2 linked regions of the Caenorhabditis elegans genome follow. The protein of the gene in region 1 purifies or fractionates together with the protein of each later gene. This does not show direct contact. Each region holds a gene or a part of one and is shown on either strand. Other genes may lie near its edges.

Evidence for each region.
Region 2: the proteins of emc-2 (region 1) and ubc-20 fractionate together in Caenorhabditis elegans (co-fractionation; one large-scale study listed by BioGRID). This does not show direct contact.

The regions. Positions count from the first base shown.
Region 1 is NC_003280.10:1,301,662-1,307,973, reverse strand, and holds emc-2 (ER membrane protein complex subunit 2), read left to right. Parts: upstream 1-1,837; 5' UTR 1,838-1,854; coding exon 1,855-1,891; intron 1,892-1,944; coding exon 1,945-2,078; intron 2,079-2,422; exon of another isoform or gene 2,423-2,473; intron 2,474-2,589; coding exon 2,590-2,778; intron 2,779-2,834; coding exon 2,835-2,918; intron 2,919-2,970; coding exon 2,971-3,129; intron 3,130-4,823; coding exon 4,824-4,919; intron 4,920-4,975; coding exon 4,976-5,080; intron 5,081-5,231; coding exon 5,232-5,312; 3' UTR 5,313-5,475; downstream 5,476-6,312. Other genes in the region: alh-6 (L-glutamate gamma-semialdehyde dehydrogenase), read left to right, coding at 1-417, 467-804, 1,373-1,589.
Region 2 is NC_003281.10:186,636-191,606, forward strand, and holds ubc-20 (UBC core domain-containing protein), read left to right. Parts: upstream 1-2,202; 5' UTR 2,203-2,205; coding exon 2,206-2,325; intron 2,326-2,377; coding exon 2,378-2,473; intron 2,474-2,540; coding exon 2,541-2,623; intron 2,624-2,679; coding exon 2,680-2,806; intron 2,807-3,766; coding exon 3,767-3,940; 3' UTR 3,941-4,312; downstream 4,313-4,971. Other genes in the region: mxl-2 (Max-like protein homolog 2), read right to left, coding at 387-560, 615-780, 1,159-1,244, 1,298-1,489; cox-17 (Cytochrome c oxidase copper chaperone), read left to right, coding at 4,362-4,454.

The DNA.
Region 1 (6,312 bases):
TCCAATTATATAATCTACGAACTCCTCGAGGAAGCTGGTATGCCACCTGGAATTCTCTCATTCTTGCCATCAGATGGCCCCGTTTTCGGTGACGTCATCACCGCATCTCCACACTTGAGCGCTGTCAATTTCACTGGCTCCGTGCCAACTTTCAAGACGATTTGGAGAAAAGTCGCCGAGAATTTGGATAACTATGTGACTTTTCCGAAACTCATCGGAGAATGCGGCGGAAAAAACTTCCACTTTGTGCATCCATCCGCCCACGTGGACGCTGTCGCCGCTGGAACCGCCCGTTCCGCCTGGGAATATTCGGGACAAAAGTGCTCGGCGTGCTCCAGGATGTACGCGCCAAAATCGATTTGGCCAAAGATTCTCGAGAAAATCTCGGCGATTCACAAAGAGATCAAGCTTGGAGATGTAGGCCACTGTTTGGCTTGCCGATTTTTGTGTAGTTTGTAGTTTACAGGTTCGCGATGGATCCGTCTTTCTGTCGGCTGTGATCGATGATAAGGCGTTTGCCAGGCTCAAGGCCTACATTGACTTTGCGAAAACCGGAGCCGACGGAGCAAATGTGGTGCTCGGCGGAAAATGTGACGACAAAACGGGATACTTCATCGAGCCGACCCTGATCACTGTGACGGATCCGAAGAGCAAGCTTCTCACTGAGGAAATGTTCGGACCGGTGGTGACGGTACTGGTCTACGAGGATTCGAAGGTTGATGAGGTGCTCGCGACTGTGAAAGACGCGACACCTTATGGGCTGACTGGCGCCGTTTTTTCGCAGGATAAGGAGTTCCTTTATAGGTTGGCAACTACAAAAAATACAAGTTTTTGCACAGGTTTTCAGGGACTCAAAAATTTTATCTAAAAACCCAGCGGAAAGAAGAAAAACTCGAATTTTCGGGTTTGTTATGTTCAAAAATGCTGAAATTCAACATTTTAGGCACAAGAAAACTGCCAAAAGTCGATTTAAAATTATTCCCGGAAAATTCGAAATCTTGAAATTCTGTTTTTTCGGCAATTTTCAAGAAATTTCTCTATAACCGAACAAAATAGGTTAAAAAATGTCGAAAAACGATAATTACACAATTTCTCCAATAAAAACCCTCGAATTTCGTCACAAATCAAATGAAAAGCTAGAAAAACTGGCAAAAATCGAAAAAAAAAAGCGATAACAACAAACAAAAAATTTGAAAGCGACAGTAAGATGTTCCTGAGCGTGGCGAGACCCAACAGTGAAAGTGTGTGTCCCTTTAAAGGGCTACGGTATTTTTTATTGGAATTTTTGTTGGATTTCGATCGATTTTTCGAGATTTTTGAGGCGAATTTTTGTGTTAAAAACGTTTTTCAACAAAGTGTTTTTTTTTCTCAGAGCTCGCGATGTTCTCCGCGACGCCGTCGGCAACATGTACCTCAACGACAAATCAACTGGATCAATCGTCGGCCAGCAGCCATTCGGAGGCTCCAGATTGTCCGGAACCAATGATAAGGCCGGTGGCCCCCACTATGGGCTCCGATGGACCTCGCCGCTGACGATTAAGGAGACGTCGGTGTCATTGACTGACTGGAAATATCCATCAATGGAATAATTATGTTGTTTTTTTCTTTTCATTTCCGATTTTTCTCATATTGAGAATATAGTTTTCTTTTTGATTAGGTCAACAATTATTGCTTTACCACTGAATTTTAATTTTTTTTCCCCCGTGATCGCATAATAAATTTTGTTTTTTTTCCTTTTTTCCAGCTATAACCGTTTATTTTATAGTTTTCTCGCTATTTTTATACCTTCCAACCGAACTTTTCCATTAAAAAGTTGGAAAAAATCAATATTTTTCAGAAATTTCCCTCCCGAAAATGGTTGAAACCGAGTGGACGCAAGTCTCTTACGATGGTAACATTCTACAATATTCAAATTTTGAAAAAAAAATCGATAAATGCTTGCAGAAGGACGTCAAGCGCTGAAAAAGTGGCGAGAATGCGGAGTTCGACGAAGTGATGAGGTCGTCGAAATTTGGGAGCACGTTATTTCACGCTCACCGGCTTCTCTTGGAGACGAGCAATGGGCTGTGTTGGAGCAGGTGCTGAAATTTTGTCGAAAAACGCTGAAAATCCTGAAAATCTGGCTTTGAATAGAAAAAAACCATAGATTTTCTGGTTTTTTTGGTGAAAAGCATATTGGTCTGCTAGACTACAAACTACAGTATTATATTTAGCAGACCCACGCTTTTTTCTAAGTTATCACGTTTCTGGTTGATTAATAGTGAAAATAATACAAATTTCGGCGAAAAACTGGAAAAAATCAATAAAAACGGTCATTTTTTACTGAAAAAATGATTATTTTCGAGAAAAAATTCAATAATTTGGGTCTGCTAGACTACAAACTACAAATTCATATTTAGCAGACCCAAGTGGTTTCGATGAAATTTGGTCTGCTAGGCTACAAACTACAAATTCATATTTAGCAGACCAATGTAGTTTTGAGGAGATTTGGTCTGCTAGACTACAAACTACAAGCTTCGATTTAGCATACCCATACTCATTTTTCACGAGAAAATCGAATTTTCACCTAATTTTTCCAATTTTTTTCAGGTGTGCATCGCAGCACTCGACGCGGCTCGTGTCGATCTGGCTCAGGATTGCATTGACCAACTTCACGCACAATTTCCGAAGAGTAATCGAGTTTTGAAGCTGAAAGCGATGCAGTTGGAATCTACGGAACATTATCAGAAGGCGTTGGATATTTATGAGCGACTGGTTGAGGATGAGCCCAATAATAATGTAAAAAATTCAGGAAATTTTTTTTTTGCAAAATTTCTAATAATTTGAATTTTCAGAGCTTCCGCAAGCGAAAAGTCGCGGTTCTTCTCGCTCAGGGAAAGCGTCTCGACGCAATTCGAGCTATCAACGATTACCTGAAGGTTTTCATTTGATTTCTAGAAAAAAAAAACTCTAAAATTTATTAATTTTCAGATTTTCCTGAACGACCCAGAAGCTTGGCTTCAGCTCAGCGAGCTTTTCCTGCTCGAAAATGACGTGGCAAAGGCGGTACATTGCCTGGAGGAGTGTGTGCTCATTTCGCCGCTGAATTCCATGTATTTCAGACGATTAGCCGATTTGAGATATACTCAAGTATGTGTGTGGAAAATTGGAGAAATTTGGGCCTGCTGGGGGCTACAAACTACAATTCATATTTAGCAGACCCAAATACATTTTCAATGGAAATTGGTTTTTTCTCGTTTTTCTACTTTTTTTTTTGAAGAAAAAAAATCGAAAATTGTCAGTTTTCCGTCAAAAAAATGTCAGAAAAACAAATTTTCAACGAAAATATATTATTTTAATGCAAAAAATGAAGAAATTTTTAAAAAATATAGAGAAATTACCGAAAATGATTGAAAATTGATTTTTTTTAAGGAAAACTAAAAAAAATTGAACGGTCTGCTACAATGCAAACTACAAAGTACAATGTTCGATTTAGCAGACCCAAGTGATTTTGAAAAAATTGGTCTGCTGGACTACAAACTACAAGTTTCGATTTAGCAGACCCAAGTGATTTCAATTCGAAATTGGTCTGCTAGACTACAAACTACAATGTTCGATTTAGCAGACCCAAGTGATTTTGAAAAAAATTGGTCTGCTAGACTAAAAACTACAATGTTCGATTTAGCAGACCCAAGTGATTTTGAAAAAAATTGGTCTGCTAGACTACAAACTACAATGTTCGATTTAGCAGACCCAAGTGATTTTGAAAAACTTGGTCTGCTGGACTACAAACTACAAGTTTCGATTTAGCAGACCCAAGTGATTTTGAAAAAATTGGTCTGCTGGACTACAAACTACATATTCATATTTGGCAGACCCAAGTGATTTTGAAAAAAATTGGTCTGCTAGACTACAAACTACAATGTTCGATTTAGCAGACCCAAGTGATTTTGAAAAACTTGGTCTGCTGGACTACAAACTACAAATTTCGATTTAGCAGACCCATGTGATTTTGAAGAAATTCGGTCTGCTAGACTACAAACTACATATTCATATTTGGCAGACCCAAGTGATTTTGAAAAAAATTGGTCTGCTAGACTACAAACTACAATGTTCGATTTAGCAGACCCAAGTGATTTCAATTCGAAATTGGTCTGCTAGACTAAAAACTACAATGTTCGATTTAGCAGACCCAAGTGATTTTGAAAAAAATTGGTCTGCTAGACTACAAACTACAATGTTCGATTTAGCAGACCCAAGTGATTTCAATTCGAAATTGGTCTGCTAGACTAAAAACTACAATGTTCGATTTAGCAGACCCAAGTGATTTTGAAAAAAATTGGTCTGCTAGACTACAAACTACAATGTTCGATTTAGCAGACCCAAGTGATTTCAATTCGAAATTGGTCTGCTAGACTAAAAACTACAATGTTCGATTTAGCAGACCCAAGTGATTTTGAAAAAAATTGGTCTGCTAAACTACAAACTACAATGTTCGATTTAGCAGACCCAAGTGATTTCAATTCGAAATTGGTCTGCTAGACTAAAAACTACAATGTTCGATTTAGCAGACCCAAGTGATTTTGAAAAAAATTGGTCTGCTAGACTACAAACTACAATGTTCGATTTAGCAGACCCAAGTGATTTCAATTCGAAATTGGTCTGCTAGACTAAAAACTACAATGTTCGATTTAGCAGACCCAAGTGATTTTGAAAAACTTGGTCTGCTGGACTACAAACTACAAATTTCGATTTAGCAGACCCATGTGATTTTGAAAAAATTGGTCTGCTGGACTACAAACTACATATTCATATTTGGCAGACCCAAACTATATTTTTTGCAGGGAGGCGCCGAAAACGTGGAATTGGCTCGTTCCTACTACGAACGTGCGCTCAAAATCAACCCAACCGATTTGAGATCTCAATACGGAATTCTATTGGTAAGTGTAGTTTGTAGTTTGTAGTTTGTAGTTTGTAGTCTATATTAATGTTTCAGAGCAACAATTTGATCGCGGCGACCACCAAAAATGCGACGGAAAAGAAGAAAGCCGGAGCTGCAGCAGTTGATGCAATCGATAATTTGGTTAATCGTTATCAGAAGGTAGATTTTGATAAAATTAATAGTTTTTAATTGGAAAAAGCTCTAAAAACTCCAAAAAATGCCGAATTTCGGCTGTTTTTTCTTGAATTTTTTGAAAAAAAAATTCGAAAAAAATCGTGATTTTTCTAAAAATAACCTTAAAAAATTCCAGATAAGTCCAAAAAGCAATCCAGAATCGGACGGAATTCTCAATTGCCTCGAAGCCATGAAAGTCACTGTTGGAAGCAAATAAATTGTCAATTTCCTCCCAAAAAATGATATGCTTTACGTACATTCCCCCGAATATTCGATTATTTCCTATTTATTTTCTGTTAAAATTCAATTTTTTTAATGTCTATCGAAAGTATATTTATCGAAAAAAAGAACTCCTCAAGAATAAATAAATGTGATGATTTTTGCCACCGTTTTTGCTCCATTTTAGAGTCTTGGGTCTGCTAAATAGCTTTTTGTAGTTTGTAGTCTGGCAGACCAATTTTTGATAGCAATTTTTAGACTAAAAACTACTTTTTTCTTGAAAATCTTGAATTTTTGCGTTATTTCACATCTATTCCGGTTTTTCCGGCTCCTTTTTGGCGCTGAAATCGATAAGTTGGGTTACTGTAGCCTCAGAAGTACGCAAACACCATGCGACTCACGCAAAAATGCACAGAAACCTGAAAGATGCGCGAAAAAAGCCATACATGGGTAAAAATTTGTGTAGAATTCAATTTTTGTGTCAGAATCGTTTAAAAAATCAGTGAAAAATGATAATTTTCAGAAATGTTGAGCCAAAAAAAAATTATTGATTTTTGTGCATTATCAGTTTTAAATTTGGATTTTTATGTTTTTTCACCCATACGAGACTTTTTCGACTCCATTCGAGTTGTAATAAAAATTTCCGGGTTACTGTAGCCTCAAAAGTACGCAAACATGGAACACTTTACGCAAAAGTGCAGAGAATTCTAAAATTTGCGGAAAAAAGCTGCATAAGGGTAAAAATGTGTGTAGAATTCAATTTTTGATATCAGAATCGATAATAATCAGCGGAAAGTACACAATTTTCGTGCTACAAACTACAAAATCCAATTTTCTCGAATTTTTCCGTAGAATTCCGTATTTTAGTTCCTGAAACTCCCCTAAGAAACAGAGAAAAAGCAAAAAGAGCTCCCTCTTAAGAGGTGCTAATTTGTATAAAAAAGAAAAACAAATTAGCGCGGGGGGGGGGGGGCCTAAAAGGGGCGCTAATTAGCAAT
Region 2 (4,971 bases), on another chromosome or scaffold:
ACAGTAATGCCAAGAAACTTCTGGAATTGGCTGATCGTTTCATGGTTCCGTTCGTTACGAGTTCCGTAGAGAATCATCTTCTCAAATCCACGGAAATCGATCATGTAACAAAGATTTGGTTGGCTGACAAATTTCAATTGGAGAAACTCATGAACCACGCGATTTCAACCATTGAGACTACAGAGAAGGCCAGACAAGTTAGAACCTCTGACTTGTTCACAGAAATGTCCACTGAAGTTACTCAGAAGCTTCTGGATCGAGTTCTTCAATTAACTACCAAAAGTTAATTTTATGTTCCAAACTATTTTCTTTTTTGTTGTTAAATTTCATTTTTACGCGTTGAATAATACATTTGTTGATTAAAAATCTGGAAATTCTTCTCAATACTATGGCGAAGTGAAGGGCATTGTGACCATTTTTCCGGCTGTCGACTTGAATGGCTCCGCATTTGGCGCCAGGCTCTCCACCCACGACAGGAGCGTTCTGGTGATCGTTGCGTACGTGGTGAAGTCCACTTGGGAGGAGAACGAGGTGAAGCAGTCGTCGAGGAGAAGTTGGAGCTGAAAGTTGGAGAATTTCGACTTAAAAATCTGGAAATTTCAGTAAATTCTAACCATTTTGACTTGAATCGTGGACTGGCCGGCGTCAGGAACCGAAGAAGCCATCTGCTCGTACTCTGAGGCAATCATTTCCAGTGCGGCCGCTTGTGCGTTGAGCTGGGCCAGTTGCTTGTCGGCGTCGGAGATGTCGGTTTTCAGTTGGGACATGAAGTCGCAGGCTCTGGAAATTATTGAATTTTCGGGGAAATTTGCAGAATTTTGAAGGTTTTTAAGCAAAAAATGGGCTTAGCAGACTGGAATTGTGATTTTTCCCGCTGAAAAACACGAAATTCTTGAAAAAAATCGTGCTTTTTAATGTAAAAAACTTGAAATTGTCATCAAAATTCGATAATTTCGCAATTTGGGTATGCTAAATCCACGTTGGTCTGCTAATTATTTAGCAGACCCAACTATGGTCTGCTAATTATTTAGCAGACCCAAGTATGGTCTGCTAATTATTTAGCAGACCCAACTATGGTCTGCTAAATATTTAGCAGACCCAAATTTTTATGTTTTCCAGTTATTTTTCCTTCAATTTTTCAGTATTTTCAGCCAGTACCTGAATAAAATCGCGGCGTTTGTAGTTTTACATCCCAGCGAAGTCGTTGTCTGAGGAATTAAATCCTTTAAATCACTGTATCCGCTCTGAAAAGTTGAAATTTTAGCTTTTTTCCACGAATTTCCAAGCTTCAACAAACATTTATAGCTTCTCTTCGCTGCCGTTCACACCTCAAGTGCGTCGCCTTCTTTCTATCCGAGCTAAATCCGCCGGAATTCGTCGCTGGCGTGTTTGGGGCCGATGGGGAGCTCGCCGAGCCGTCCGGCGACATTAGGTCCATATCGTCCGGCTTTTGAGAGGAGCTGGCAGCTGCGGAACGGCTTCGAGACATTTTTGGGCTGAAAAACAGAGAATTTCAGTAGAGTAATTGGGAAAAAAACGAAGAAAAACGCGGATTTTTGAAATTTGGGTCTGCTGATTAATTAGCAGACCTAATTGTTCCCTGGCAAGATTTTTTTTGAAGATTTCAATCAATTCTAGATATTTTCTGAACGGGTTTCTCAATAAACAAATGGAAATTCCCTCTAAACCTTGAGAAAATTAGAAGTATTTCGGCAAAAACGTTCAATTTTCTTTTTTGAGAAAAATCATGATGCAAAAACTAAAATTCCTATAAAAACTTAATCAATCTGTGAATCGATACTTCCGATCACGGGTTTGATCGTTTGAACCCGTTTTTTCTCGGCGACAACGATGCTCCGACTTAACGCACGGTTTTCTCCGGTTTTTCCGGGTTTTTGTTCAATTTTACTGTGATTTAAGCAATTTTTCGCATAAAAATTGGTTTTTCAACATTTTTCTACATGATTTTTGATTTTTATTCACGAAAAACGATGAAAAATCGATGAAATTCGGGGAAAAACAAAAATTTCAGTTGCAAACGATGCTCCGAAATTCCGCGGCGCGCCCTGTTTATCATGAGTTGGTGTTTGAATAATTTTGATGATAATTTCAGACTTTCTCGAAGCTTTTTCGATAATTCCTTGAACTTCATGATTTTCGTCGATTTTTCAGAGTTTTTCCACTATTTTCCATCGTTTTCAGACCATGTCGAACATAGCATTCAACAGACTCCAACGAGAATGCAAAGAGGTCGTCACAAACTCGGAAATCAGCGAAACCGGAATTATGATCGAGATATTGAACGAGAATCTCACCGAAATCAAGGTAAAACGCCGCGAATTGTGTGTCGGAAATCTCAATTTTTATCGGTTTTCAGGGACACATCCGCGGTCCACCAGACACTCCATACGCCGGTGGAATGTTCGATTTGGATATTAAGATTCCAGACCAATATCCATTCTCGCCACCAAATGTACGAGTTTTTCTGCCTGGAAAGCTTGAAAATTGTCGAAATTTGTGTAAAAATCGCGGTTTTTCAGGTCAAGTTCAGCACAAAAATCTGGCACCCGAATGTCAGCTCGCAGACCGGCGTCATTTGCCTCGATATTCTTAAGGATCAATGGTAATATTGCGATTATTATTTTAAAATCGGAAAATTTAATTTATTTTCAACTTCAGGGCCGCTTCGCTGACTCTTCGCACGGTTCTCCTGTCGATTCAGGCGTTGATGTGCACACCGGAGCCCAAGGATCCTCAAGATGCCGTCGTCGCCAAGCAATACATGGAGAAGCCAGCAGTTTTCAAGGTAGCAGCGTGGAAAATTCAGAAAATTCGCGGAAAAATGGGGAAAATATTGCGAAATCCGATTAAAAAATCAATATGGGTCTGCTAAGTAATTAAGTAATTAGCAGACCCAAATCTTCCCTTATTTTGTGTGTTTTTTTGCGTATTTTGCCCCAAAAATTATCTATAATTTCCCATTTTTCAGGCCAACTCGAGTTTTGAAGCGTCAAAATTGAGAAAATTCGATGGGAAACGTGCAAAATTCGTTAATTCCCGAATTTTGGAGACAATTCTGACTGTTTTACACTGAAATGCACGATTTTCTCGGAAAATTATTGATTTTTGCCCTGAAATTTCAGAATTTGGCCGATTTTCTTTAGAATTTGGGTCTGCCAACTAATTAGCAGGCTTGTAGAAACGCCACGTGGTTTTCGATGGTCTGCTAAATATTTAGCAGACCCAAGTATGGTCTGCTAAATAATTAGCAGACCCAAGTATGGTCTGCTAAATAATTAGCAGACCCAAGTATGGTCTGCTAAATATTTAGCAGACCCTAATCCCGTATTTATCCTTTAAATTTAGTTTTTTTCGCGGAATTTACTGGTTTTTTCTTGTTTTTCAACCAGGAAATCGTTCAAATTCATCACTTTTTGTCCCAGAAGCCGAGAAAAATCAGTTTTTCAGCTCATATCGAAATTTGTTTTTCAAAAAGAAATTATAAAAAAGTTTAGCAGACCCAAAACTCAACAAATTTGGCGAAGTTGTTTTTAGTCTAAAAACTCGAATTTCCCCGAAAATTCGTTGTTTCCAGTGAGTGTAAAAACTCGAGAAATCTCAAAAAAAAAATTGGTTTTCATTCGAATTTTCTCAATTTCCACGCTTGAAAACTTTAGGTAGCCTAGAAAATAGACAAACATAGACAACATAAACTGAATAATAGCCTAATATGCTCTTAATATACTAAATTTCCACCATTTTTCAGGCCACCGCCGAGTACTGGACGACAAAATTCGCAAAGGGAGCCGTGAAAAACGCCGGATACCAGGCTCTCGTCGACAAGCTCAAGGATATGGGAGTCCGTGAGGAAGAGGCTGTCAGCGTGCTCAGCTGCAACAATTGGGACATCAATCGCTCGACGGTCTACATTTTCTCTTAAATTCTTTTTTATTCGATTTTTTTGAATTTTTTCTGTGAGCCTCTTGTCTTGAAGTTTGTGTCCTAAAAATCCCTTATTTCTTCCATTTTTTTCCGAGAAATTTTCGTCCCCAACCCCCCGCACCACTGGTATTTCTTTTTACCAATTCGTACCATCCTCACCCCAAAAAAACCGATCAGAATAGTAGATTTTCCGCCTGATTTGTGTGTGTTTTGCCTATTTATTATCGATATTATTCATTGAAATTTCCCCCCTTTGACCCCCATTTTTTTTGCAACGATACTCTTTCCATGAATTATATTGACGGAGTTGTAGCTGCAATTTTTATCCGATTTTCTGAAAATTTTTGGCGAATGTCGTTTTTAATATCTTTAAAACTCCATTTTTATCTGTAAAATCTATAATTTTAGCACCCAAAAAAATGCCAGCAGAGCCACAAAAATCCACAGAAGCCGGCAGCGTGGCACCGGAGAAGAAGCTGAAAGCGTGCTGCGCGTGTCCTGAAACGAAACGAGTGAGGTTTTGATGGAAAATGGAAAAATGGCGAAAAATTCCAATTTTGCGGTTGAAAATCGCTAAATTTTACATTTCGACTATCCAAAACTGATTTTTCCGAGTTTTTGCATCAAAAATCGAGAATTTCTGGGAAAAAACTCAATTTTGAACATAAATTCGAAAAAAAATGGGTCTGCTAAATATTTAGCAGACCCATTTTTGGTCTGCTAAATATTTAGCATACCCAACTTTGGTCTGCTAATTATTTAGCAGACCCAAGTATGGTCTGCTAAATATTTAGCAGACCCCAGTATGGTCTGCTAAATATTTAGCAGACCCCAGTATGGTCTGCTAAATATTTAGCATACCCAATTTTGGTCTGCTAAACATTTTGCAGACCCAATTTCGAAAAATCTTAATTTTTTCCTCAAAAACGGAATTTTCTTGGTTTTTACAGCAAAAATCGAGAATTTCCGCGATTTTCTGACTAGAAAACCTGAAAAATTCGTGAAATTCGTTGAAAAAACTCAATTTGG